Macaca fascicularis: one gene and its partner. The protein of the gene in region 1 interacts with the protein of each later gene in a pairwise test. Links are inferred from orthologs where the notes say so. Each region holds a gene or a part of one and is shown in the gene's direction. Other genes may lie near its edges.

The links. The genes of interacting proteins can lie anywhere in the genome.
Region 2: the proteins of HTT (region 1) and PKM interact in binary tests that used the Homo sapiens proteins (3 or more experiments, as listed by UniProt). The link is inferred for Macaca fascicularis from reciprocal best matches to the Homo sapiens genes HTT and PKM.

What each region holds. Positions count from the first base shown.
Region 1 is NC_088379.1:3,291,477-3,296,980, forward strand, and holds the start of HTT (huntingtin), read left to right. Parts: upstream 1-2,284; 5' UTR 2,285-2,423; coding exon 2,424-2,659; intron 2,660-5,504.
Region 2 is NC_088381.1:49,032,269-49,037,030, reverse strand, and holds part of PKM (pyruvate kinase PKM), read left to right. Parts: intron 1-294; coding exon 295-461; exon of another isoform or gene 462-863; coding exon of another isoform or gene 864-1,030; intron 1,031-3,135; coding exon 3,136-3,317; intron 3,318-4,040; coding exon 4,041-4,147; 3' UTR 4,148-4,762. UniProt on the Homo sapiens protein: Catalyzes the final rate-limiting step of glycolysis by mediating the transfer of a phosphoryl group from phosphoenolpyruvate (PEP) to ADP, generating ATP.

The sequences.
Region 1 (5,504 bases):
TCATCAGAGTGTCCATGCCAAGAAGCCACCAGGGAGACTGAAGTCATACCCTTTTGTGATCTAGTCATGGAGTGACATTCCATCACCTTTGCCCTGTTACATTGGTTAGAAGCAGGCCACCAGGTACAGCCCGCACTCACGGGGAGGGGTCATACAAGGGTGTCAATACCATGAGGCGAGGGGTGCTTGGGCCATCTTACGAGTCTGCCCACTGAGGTAACTAACAGCCTTGAGGCCCGGTACAGTGGACAAAGGCCCTTATTAACAGCAGAGAACTGAGAACTTTATTTATTTATTTATTTAATTTATTTTTGAGACAGAGTCTCACTCTTGTCGCCCAGGCTGGAGTGCAATGGCATGATCTCGGCTCACTGCAACCTCCATCTCCCGGGTTCAAGCAATTCTCCTGCCTCAGCCTCCAGAGTAGCTGGGACTACAGGCACGCACCACTACGCCGGGCTAATTTTTGTATTTTTAGCAGAGACAAGGTTTCGCCATGTTTGGCCAGGCTGGTCTCGAACTCCTTACCTCTGGTGATCTGCCTGCCTTGGCCTCCCAAAGTGCTGGGATTACAGGCGTGAGCCACCGCACCCAGCTGGAACTTAATTTTTTTAAAGATCGTGTTGCTCTATCGCCCAAGCTGGAGTGCAGTGGTGCAACCATAGCTCACTTGCAGCCACAAATTCCTGGCTTCAGGTGATCCTCCTACATCAGCCTCCCAAGAACTGGGAACTAACGGCTGTTTCTCTGCTGTCCTTCTCAAGACAAGGGAGGGAGACAATGCTGGGTTTCCCTTTGGGACAGGCTCTGAGACAAGGTGGAGGTGCTGCTTGTGGCCACAGAGCAGGGGACTCTGGGTTGCAGGTGTGGCCTGGCTTGAGTAGGCTTTAGTGGGCTTCTCTCTGCCTGCACCACCCCCGGGCTGGGTGGTTGTCTCTGAGGCCAACCCTACTCCCTAATGGGCAGGCTGGACAGCTGCCCTCTCTGTTTGCCCCTCTACCACCCAAAAGGCGGGAGGCTCTGGAGACCAGGACCCTGCCTGCGCCGGCCTGTGCCCCAGGCGTGAGGGGGTGCCCCACAGATCTCTGCTGAGCTGAGGCTGAATGGCACCCCTTGGGGGTCCTGCCAGGTCAGAGCAGGGTGCTTTCCCATACAGAAACGCCCCCAGGTCGGGACTCATTCCTGTGGGAGGCGTCTTGTGGCCACCGCTGCTTCTCGCTGCACTAATCACAGTACCTCTGTGGGCAGCAGGCGCTGACCATCCGGGCCTGCCTCAGACCCTCTCCTCCCTTCCGGGGCGCTGCGCTGGGACCGATGGGGGGCGCCAGGCCTGTGGGCACCGCCCTGCAGGGGCCGCTCCAGCTCACTGGAGGGTGGGGAGGGTCACACTTGGGGTCTTCAGATCGCGCCGACCACGCGCAATCTCTGCGCTCTGCGCAGGGGCTCGCCCACCCTCTCCCCGTGCAGCGAGTCCCCAGCAGGCTCCCCGCAGGGCTGTCCAGGTGAGCCTGGCTCTGGCCGCGGGCCAGTGTGGCGGGCGGGCAAGCCCCGAGGCCACCTCGGCTCAGAGCCCACGGCCGGCTCTCGCCCAGCTCCAGACGTCTGCGAGGGTTCCATTCCGCTTGGGCCGGCGCCCCGCGCGCCGCGCCCTGGCCCCGCCCCGCCCTGGCCCCGCCCCTCCCTCACCCCGCCCCCTCTGCACCCCACCCCTCCCTGGCCCCGCCCTCCGCGCCCCACCTCTCATCTTCCCGCCCCACCCCCAGCCACGCCCCTCACGGTCAGCCCCCTCCCCTATCCGCCCCGCCTCTCATCGTCTCGCCTCGCTCCGCCCCTCAGCCGTCCCGCCCCTCAGGCGCCCTGCCTAATGTCCCCGCCCCCAGCCTCGCCCCGCTCCGCCCCAGCCTCGCCCCGCCCCGCCCCTCAGGCGCCCTGCCTGCTGTGCCCCGCCCCAGCCTCGCCACGCCCCTCGTTACCATGTAGTCCCGCCCCGTTCCTTCCGCGTCCCGCCTCGCCCTGCCCCTTCACAGCTTCGCCCCACCCCATTACAGTCTTGCCACGCCCCGTCCCCTGTCCGTTGAGCCCTGCTCCTTCGCCCAGGTGGGGCGCTGCGCTGTCAGAGGCTTTGGTGGCTCTGTGAGGCAGAACATGCGGGCGCAGGGACTGGCTGGCTCCCTGGCCAGTCATTGGCAGAGTCCGCAGGCTAGGGCTGTCAATCATCCTGGCCGGCGTGGCCCCGCCTCCGCCGGCGCAGCGTCTTGAGACGCAAGGCGCCGCGGGGGCTGCCGGGACGGGTCCAAGATGGACGGCCGCTTCGGTTCCGCTTTTACCCGCGGCCCAGAGCCCCATTCATTGCCCCGGTGCTGAGCGGCGCTGCGAGTCGGCCCGAGGCCTCCGGGGACTGCCCAGCCGGGCGGGAGACCGCCATGGCGACCCTGGAAAAGCTGATGAAGGCCTTCGAGTCTCTCAAGTCCTTCCAGCAGCAGCAGCAGCAGCAGCAGCAACAGCCACAGCCGCAGCCGCCGCCGCCGCCGCCGCCGCCTCCTCCTCAGCTTCCTCAGCCGCCGCAGGCACAGCCGATGCTGCCTCAGCCGCAGCCGCCCCCGCCGCCGCCCCCGCCACCACCCGGCCCGGCTGTGGCTGAGGAGCCGCTGCACCGACCGTGAGTTTGGGCCCGCTGCAGCTCCCTGTCCCGGCGGGTCCCAGCCTACGGCGGGGATGGCGGAATCCTGCACCCTGCGGGCCGGCGACACGAACCCCCCCGGCCCCGCAGCGACAGAGTGACCCAGCAACCCAGAGCCAATGAGGGACACCCGCCCCCTCCTGCGGCGAGACCTTCCCCCACTTCAGCCCCGGTCCCGCACTTGGGTCTTGTCCTCCCGCGAGGGGAGGCAGAACCTCGTTGGGACCTGTCCTGAATTCACGGAGGGGAGTCACGGCCTCAGCCCTCTCGCCCTTTCCAGGGTGCGAAGAGTTGGGGCGAAAACTTGTTTCTTTTTATTTGCGAGAAACTAGGGCGGGGGTTTAACTGTGTTCTGAAGAGAACTTGGAAGAGCCGAGATTTGCTCAGGGCCACTTCCCTCATCTAGTCAGAGAGGGAAGAGGGCTGGGGGCGCGGGACACCTCGAGAGGAGGCGGGGTTTGGAGCTAGAGAGATGTGGGGGCAGTGGATGACATAATGCTTTTAGGACGCCTCGGCGGGAGTGGCTGGGGTGGGGGGCGGGGAGTGAGGGCGCGTCCAATGGGAGATTTATTTTCCAAGTGGCACTTAAAACAGCCTGAGATTTGAGGCTCTTCCTACATTCTCAGGGCATTTCATTTAGTTCATGATCGCGGTGGTAGTAACACGATTTTAAGCACCACCTAAGAGACCTGCTCATCTAAGCGCAAGTTAGTGTGCAGGCATTTGAATGAGTTGTGGTTGCCAAATAAGTGGTGAACTTACGTGGTATTAATAAAATTATCTTAAATATTAGGAAGAGTTGATTGAAGTTTATTGCCTGTTTGTGTTGGGAATAAAACTAACACGTTGCTGAGGGGGAGGTTAATTGCCGAGGGATGAATGAGGTATACATTTTACCAGTATTGCAGTCAGGCTTGCCAGAATATGGGAGGTCTGCAGACTCCGTGGACATCTCATGTGCCAGTGAAAGGGTTTCTGTTCGCCTCATTGCTGACAGCTTGTTACTTTTTGGAAGCTAGAGGTCTCTGTTGCTTGTTCTTGGGGAGAATTTTTGAAACAGAAAAAGAGACCATTAAAACATCTAGCGGAACCCCAGGACGTGGGAGTGTGTGCTGAGTGTTTAGCAGGATTTAGGAAGTACTCCGCTGCAGTTCAGGCCTTTCTCTTACCTCTCAGTGTTCTATTTCCGATCTGGACGTGTATCAGATGGCATTTGATAAGAATATCTCTATTAAGACTGATTAATTTTTAGTAATATTTCTTGTTCTTTGTTTCTGTTATGATCCTTGCCTTGTCTTGAAAGTTTAATTAGAAGAGGAGGATTTGGAGAGCAGTGTTAGCTTATTTGTTAGAGTAAAATTTAGGAATAAATTCTTCTAAAGGATGGAAAAACTTTTTGGATATTTAGAGAAATTTTTAAACAATTTGGCTTATCTCTTCAGTAAGTAATTTCTCATCCTTCCAGAAATTTACTGTAGTGCCTTTCTAGGAGGTAGGTGTCATAGAAGTTCACACATTGCATGTATCTTGTGTAAACACTAAACTGGGCTCCTGATGGGAAGGAAGACCTTTCTGCTGGGCTGCTTCAGACACTTGATCATTCTGAAAATATGCCGTCTCTTTCCTGTGCTGATTTGATAGAACCTGCGTTTGCTTATCTTCAAAATATGGGTATCAAGAAATTTCCTTTGCTGCCTTTACAGAGGAGATAGATTTTGTTTCATTACTTTATTTTAAGGTAATATATGATTACCTTATTTTAAAAATTTAATCAGGCCTGGCAAGGTGGCTCATGCCTTTAATCCGAGCACTTTGGGAGGCTTAGGCGGATGAATCACCTGAGGTCAGGAGTTCGAGACCAGTCTGGCTAACATGGTGAAACCCCATCTCTACTAAAAGTACAAAAATTAGTTGGTCATGGTGGCACGTGCCTGTAATGCCAGCTACCTGGGAGGCTGAGGCAGGAAAATCGCTGGAACCCGGGAGGCAGAGGCTGCAGTGAGCTGAGACTGCGCCACTGCACTCCAGCCTGGGTGCCAGAGCGAGACTCTTGTCTCAAAAAAAAAAAAAAAAAAAGAAATTATTATTTTTGCATAAGTAATACATTAACATGACACAAATTCCGTAATTACAAAAGAGCAATACTTAAAATATCTTCCTTCCACCCCTTTCATCTGAGTACCTAACTTTGTCCCCAAGAACAAGCACTATTACAGTTCCTCCTGTATCCTGCCAGATATAATCTATGCATATTGTAAGATAGATTTAAAATGCTGTAAAAATAAAAGTAGTTTACGGTAATAATTTTTTTTCTTTATTTTTTTTGAGATGTAGTCTCACATTGTCACCCAGGCTGGAGTGCGGTGGTATGATCTTGGCTCACTGCAACCTCCACCTCCCAGGTTCAAACGATTCTCCTGCCTCAGCCTCCAGAGTCGCTGGGATTACAGGTGCCCACCACCATGTCCAGCTGATTTTTGTATTTTTAGTAGAGATGGGGTTTCACCATGTTGGCCAGGCTGGTCTTGAACTCCTGACCTCGGAATCCATCCACCTCGGCCTCCCAAAGTGCTGGGGTTACAGGTGTGAGCCACTGCCCCTGGCTAGAATAATAACTTTTAAAGGTTCTTAGCATTCTCTGAAATCAACTGCATTAGGTTTATTTATAGTTATTTTAAATAAAATGCATATTTGTCATATTTGTATGTATTTTGCTGTTGAGAAAGGAGGTATTCACTAATTTTGAGTAACAAACACTGCTCACAACAAACAAACTCAAAAGTTTGGATTTTGGCATTTCTGTTCATGTGCTTCAGCCAAAAAA
Region 2 (4,762 bases), on another chromosome or scaffold:
CATGCCAGAGTGCTAGAGCCTACTGCCAGATTGTCTCCCTCCATCCCCAATCAAATCCTTCCAGAACGGAAGAGCCAATTTCCCCTGTGTTGGAGGGGAAGTGGCAGCACCTCCTGAAGCAGTTGGACTTTCATCACCCTACCTCCGCATCTGCCTGAAGGACAGATTTAGCCAATTAACCTAAGGTTACCTTCCTCTCTGATTAATTCCCCATTCTGTCTTCCCATGTGTTGTGTCTTGTTTTTTTCCTCCTCCTTCCCTCTTCCTTTTCCCCTCTTCCCCTAAACCTTACAGATAGCTCGTGAGGCTGAGGCAGCCATGTTCCACCGCAAGCTGTTTGAAGAACTTGTGCGAGCCTCAAGTCACTCCACAGACCTCATGGAAGCCATGGCCATGGGCAGCGTGGAGGCTTCTTATAAGTGTTTAGCAGCAGCTTTGATAGTTCTGACGGAGTCTGGCAGGTAGGGCCCTAAGGGCAGGTAACACTGCTAGGATAACCAGCCTCTTGCTTCAGCTGTTCCAGGAGAAGACAGCCAGGCCCAACCTGGCACCTGGGCACAGAGCCTCTTCTTGTCTATAGGAATACCGCCAGGGAGGTCATGGCAGGGCAGGACCAAAGGGTCCTGTGGCTCAGTAGGCACAGCAGATGTCACAGGCACTTGGTGAAGGACTGGTTTCTGTGGAGTCTTGAAATTGGCTCAGCTCAGCATCTCCAGTGACTGGGCTACTCTTGGCCTTTGTCCCTAGGAACATGTTCCTCACCAGCTGTCCGGGTGACTCTTCCCCTCCCTCTCCTTCTGTGACAAAGCTCTGACAAAGCTCTGTCCCCCTCTCGTCCCTCTGGACGGATGTTGCTCCCCTAGATTGCCCGTGAGGCAGAGGCCGCCATCTACCACTTGCAATTATTTGAGGAACTCCGCCGCCTGGCGCCCATTACCAGCGACCCCACAGAAGCCACCGCCGTGGGTGCCGTGGAGGCCTCCTTCAAGTGCTGCAGTGGGGCCATAATCGTCCTCACCAAGTCTGGCAGGTAGGAGGTGGCAGCGGCTCCCTGGGATGCCCCGCTCAGTGGCACCTCTCCTTGGGGGTCCTGGGAGCAGTGCATTGAACAATGCTCAGGTGGCACTGAGCCAAGGTAAGACCCCTCTGCCTGCCACCTTGGGCCTGCAGAGAAGGATTGAGCAGAGCCCCTTCCCTGGGCCCAGAGGACTCTAGGCAGCACACATAAGGAATGTCAGAACATTTGGATCAAAAGCAAGTTTATGCTGGAGATTTATTACATAATAGTGCACAGGCTGACTACAAATGGTTATTTGATATTGAAAATTTAGTAGCCAGGCGCTGTGGCTCACTCCTGTAGGCCGGGCGCGGTGACTTGTGCCTGTAATCCCAGCATTTTGGGAGGCCGAGGTGGGCGGATCACGAGGTCAGGAGATTGAGACCATCCTGGCTAACACGGTGAAACCCCGTCTCTACTAACAATACAAAAAATTAGCTGGGCGTGGCGGCGGGCGCCTGTAGTCCCAGCTACTCTGGAGGCTGAGGTAGGAGAATGGCGTGAACCCAGGAGGTGGAGCTTGCAGTGAGCCGAGATCGCACCACTGCACTCCAGCCTGGGCGACAGAGTGAGATTCCGTCTCAAAAAAAAAAAAAAAAAAATTTAGTCCTCTAAAATAGTAAAAGATAACCACTTTTGCTTATTCCAGTTACTATGTGCTCTTTAAAAATTTCAGTTGGGAAAATGAATTTATTTAAATGCTGTTTACTGTGCCTCCATTTGGCGCACTAGTCCCTGCTGTTTTCGAGCCCTAAAGACAAATTGGTTTCCAGCTCAGGAGAGGTTGCTGTGCTATCTTGGCTGACATTCTGTGGGGCCAGGCAGCCAGGCTGAGGACTGTGTGGCCTATGCTGAGCCTCCAACTTGGGATCCCTTCCTTAGCCCAGGACATTGAGTTAATGTCCTTCACTCTCCTAGTTAGGGATTATGCTCCTTGTCCCTGCCCACAGGGCAGCGAGGGTTTCCTGGAGAAGAGCAAACAGGCAGTGCCCATGCACTGAGGAGTAGCAGGTGGGCATGGGCAGCCCAGAGAACCAGGACACAAGCTCTGTGCAGATGCCCTCAGCAGAGGGCTGCAGCCTCCCACTCTTGGCTGAACAGCTTCAACCAGTAGGGTTGACCTTTCTTAAAAGGTCCAGTTCTTGCTGTTTGGCTATTTTAAGCTCTAGTCTTCTGGGGTTTCACTCAGCTGGTCCTAGCTTCAGCAGTTGCTTCCCTCTGATGGCCTTGCATATAGGCCAAGCGTGAAGTGCAGGGACTTCTCTGCTATGATATGGCTTAAGTTTCCCTGACACCTGTTGAGTGTCCTCATAACTTCCCTTCTGGTGCCCCTCCCCAGCTCCTGAGACACAGCTGCACCTACAAGTGTGCAGTGTCAGTGTTCAAGAAAGCGCCTGGCACAGGGGCTTCAGAAGGGTCCCCTGCCTTCCAAAGGAGCTTTGGCAGGCAGAGCTGCTCCTGCACCAACACTCCCATTTCCTGTTCTTGCCTGCTGAGTAGCACTTAGATTTCTAAGCCTCACCTAGATACTCAGATTTGACTCTGGGCCTTTATAGCTCAGTTGCTGGACTGTTTCAGGAGCCAGGGGCCATGTGGGACAGGGAAGAGGGCACAAAAGTAGAGAAGCCTGATGTTGATTCCCATGGGGCTGGTCAGCTCTGCTACTGCTCTACATGCTACTTGGCTTGTAGGTGTCACCGGCAGCGAGAGGAATGGGTGCTGGTGACACTGGGCCAGGGCTGCCTGTCTGTGTCAGAGTGTAGGAGGGGTTCTGCCAACCATGGGCTGTGTGAGATAAGTGGGTGAGGCTGACCTTGGGTCAAGATAATCCTGGGTCAGGATAATCCTGGGCCCTTGGCCTGTGGAGTGGGGGTAGAGGGCAGATGGTAGCCTAGCCTGCTATGGAGGATATAGGATGAGGGGCTGCCCTAGCCTTGGGAGGGGTCCTAGGGAGCAGATGTTGAAGAGGCCAGAGCCATCAGTGAGCTGGGTGAGAGGATGAGCTGTTTGAATACCCTGAGGTACTTCCTGGGGCCTTGTGTAATGGTCTCTTCTGTATGTCCCCCATCCCATCTCAGGTCTGCTCATCAGGTGGCCAGATACCGCCCACGTGCCCCCATCATTGCTGTGACCCGGAATCCCCAGACAGCTCGTCAGGCCCACCTGTACCGTGGCATCTTCCCTGTGCTGTGCAAGGACCCAGTCCAGGAGGCCTGGGCTGAGGACGTGGATCTCCGGGTGAACTTTGCCATGAATGTTGGTACGTGGCTGGAGCAGGGGCTAGAGCCTAGAGGGGTTTGGGGATGCTTGAGCATTGGCTTCTGTGGGACCCTGAAAGTTTGGGGAATAGAAAGGGAAACATAGAGGGGCAAAAGGCCCAGCTGACTGTTCTCTCCCTCATTGGGAATGTTCTTTCTGAATCTGTCATTCCTGGAAGTCCTAAGCTGAGCCCAGGAGAGAAAAGGGTCCTTTGAGTTGTAGGGTTGAGCAGTTCCTTTCCTCTTCTCTTCTAGTCTGGGACTCAAAGCAAAATTGTCCATTCTTTGGCATCTGCTCATTACTGAGGGTTTTGTTTTTGTTTTTGTTTTTTAAATAAAATTGGCTACAGCTCCTGTGCTGTGGGGTGGCATACACAGATTATGTACTGATGTGGCCATTGTCCCTGTATAAGGTAGGGTATCACCGGATGACAGGAAGCAGCTAGCTCTTGACCCTGGGCAAAGCTTTGCACCCTCTGGAGGATGAAGTGAAAGATGTCCAAAGGTCCCTGCCAACCCTGCCAACCCTGCCATCTGAGTGATAAGGACATTTCAGGGCCTCCCTCCTGTTTGCCTGGGCTGTAAGTTTGGTGCCACCTTGTGGTGTGAGGAAGTAGTGTAGTGGTCAGCCAGCCTAGTTCAGTGCTCAGGCTATGGGGCAGCTGCCCAGGTGCACACCTGCCTGGCTTGGCTTTTACTTACCAATCTCCCTTCTCTTCCCCCAGGCAAGGCCCGAGGCTTCTTCAAGAAGGGAGATGTGGTCATTGTGCTGACCGGATGGCGCCCTGGCTCCGGCTTCACCAACACCATGCGTGTTGTTCCTGTGCCGTGATGAACCTGAGAGCCCTTCCTCCAGCCCCTGTCCCACCCCCTTCCCCCAACCCATCCATTAGGCCAGCAACGCTTGTAGAACTCACTCTGGGCTGTAATGTGGCACTGGTGGGCTGGGACACCAGGGAAGAAGATTAGTGCCTCGCTGAAACATGGCTGTGTTTGCAGCCTGCTCTAGTGGGACAGCCCAGAGCCTGGCTGCCCATCATGCGGCCCCACCCAATCAAGGGAAGAAGGAGGAATGCTGGACTGGAGGCCCCTGGAGCCAGATGGCAAGAGGGTGACAGCTTTCTTTCCTGTGTATACTCCGTCCAGTTCCTTGAGAAAAAATGGATGCCCAGAGGACTCCCAACCCTGGCCTGGGGTCAGGAAACAGCTAGAGAGTTAGGGGCCTTAGGGCAAGGGGCTGTTGTTCCCTTGAAGCTGACTCTGGCCCTGGCCCTTACTTGCTTCCCCAGCCCCCTGGGCCTCCCCAGTTCGCACCTGTCCCCGCCCTCCACTCAGTTGTCCTGCAGCAAACACTCCACCCTCCACCCTCCACCTTCCATTTTCCCCCACTACTGCAGCGACTACTGCAGCGCCTCCAGGCCTGTTGCTATAGAGCCTACCTGTATGT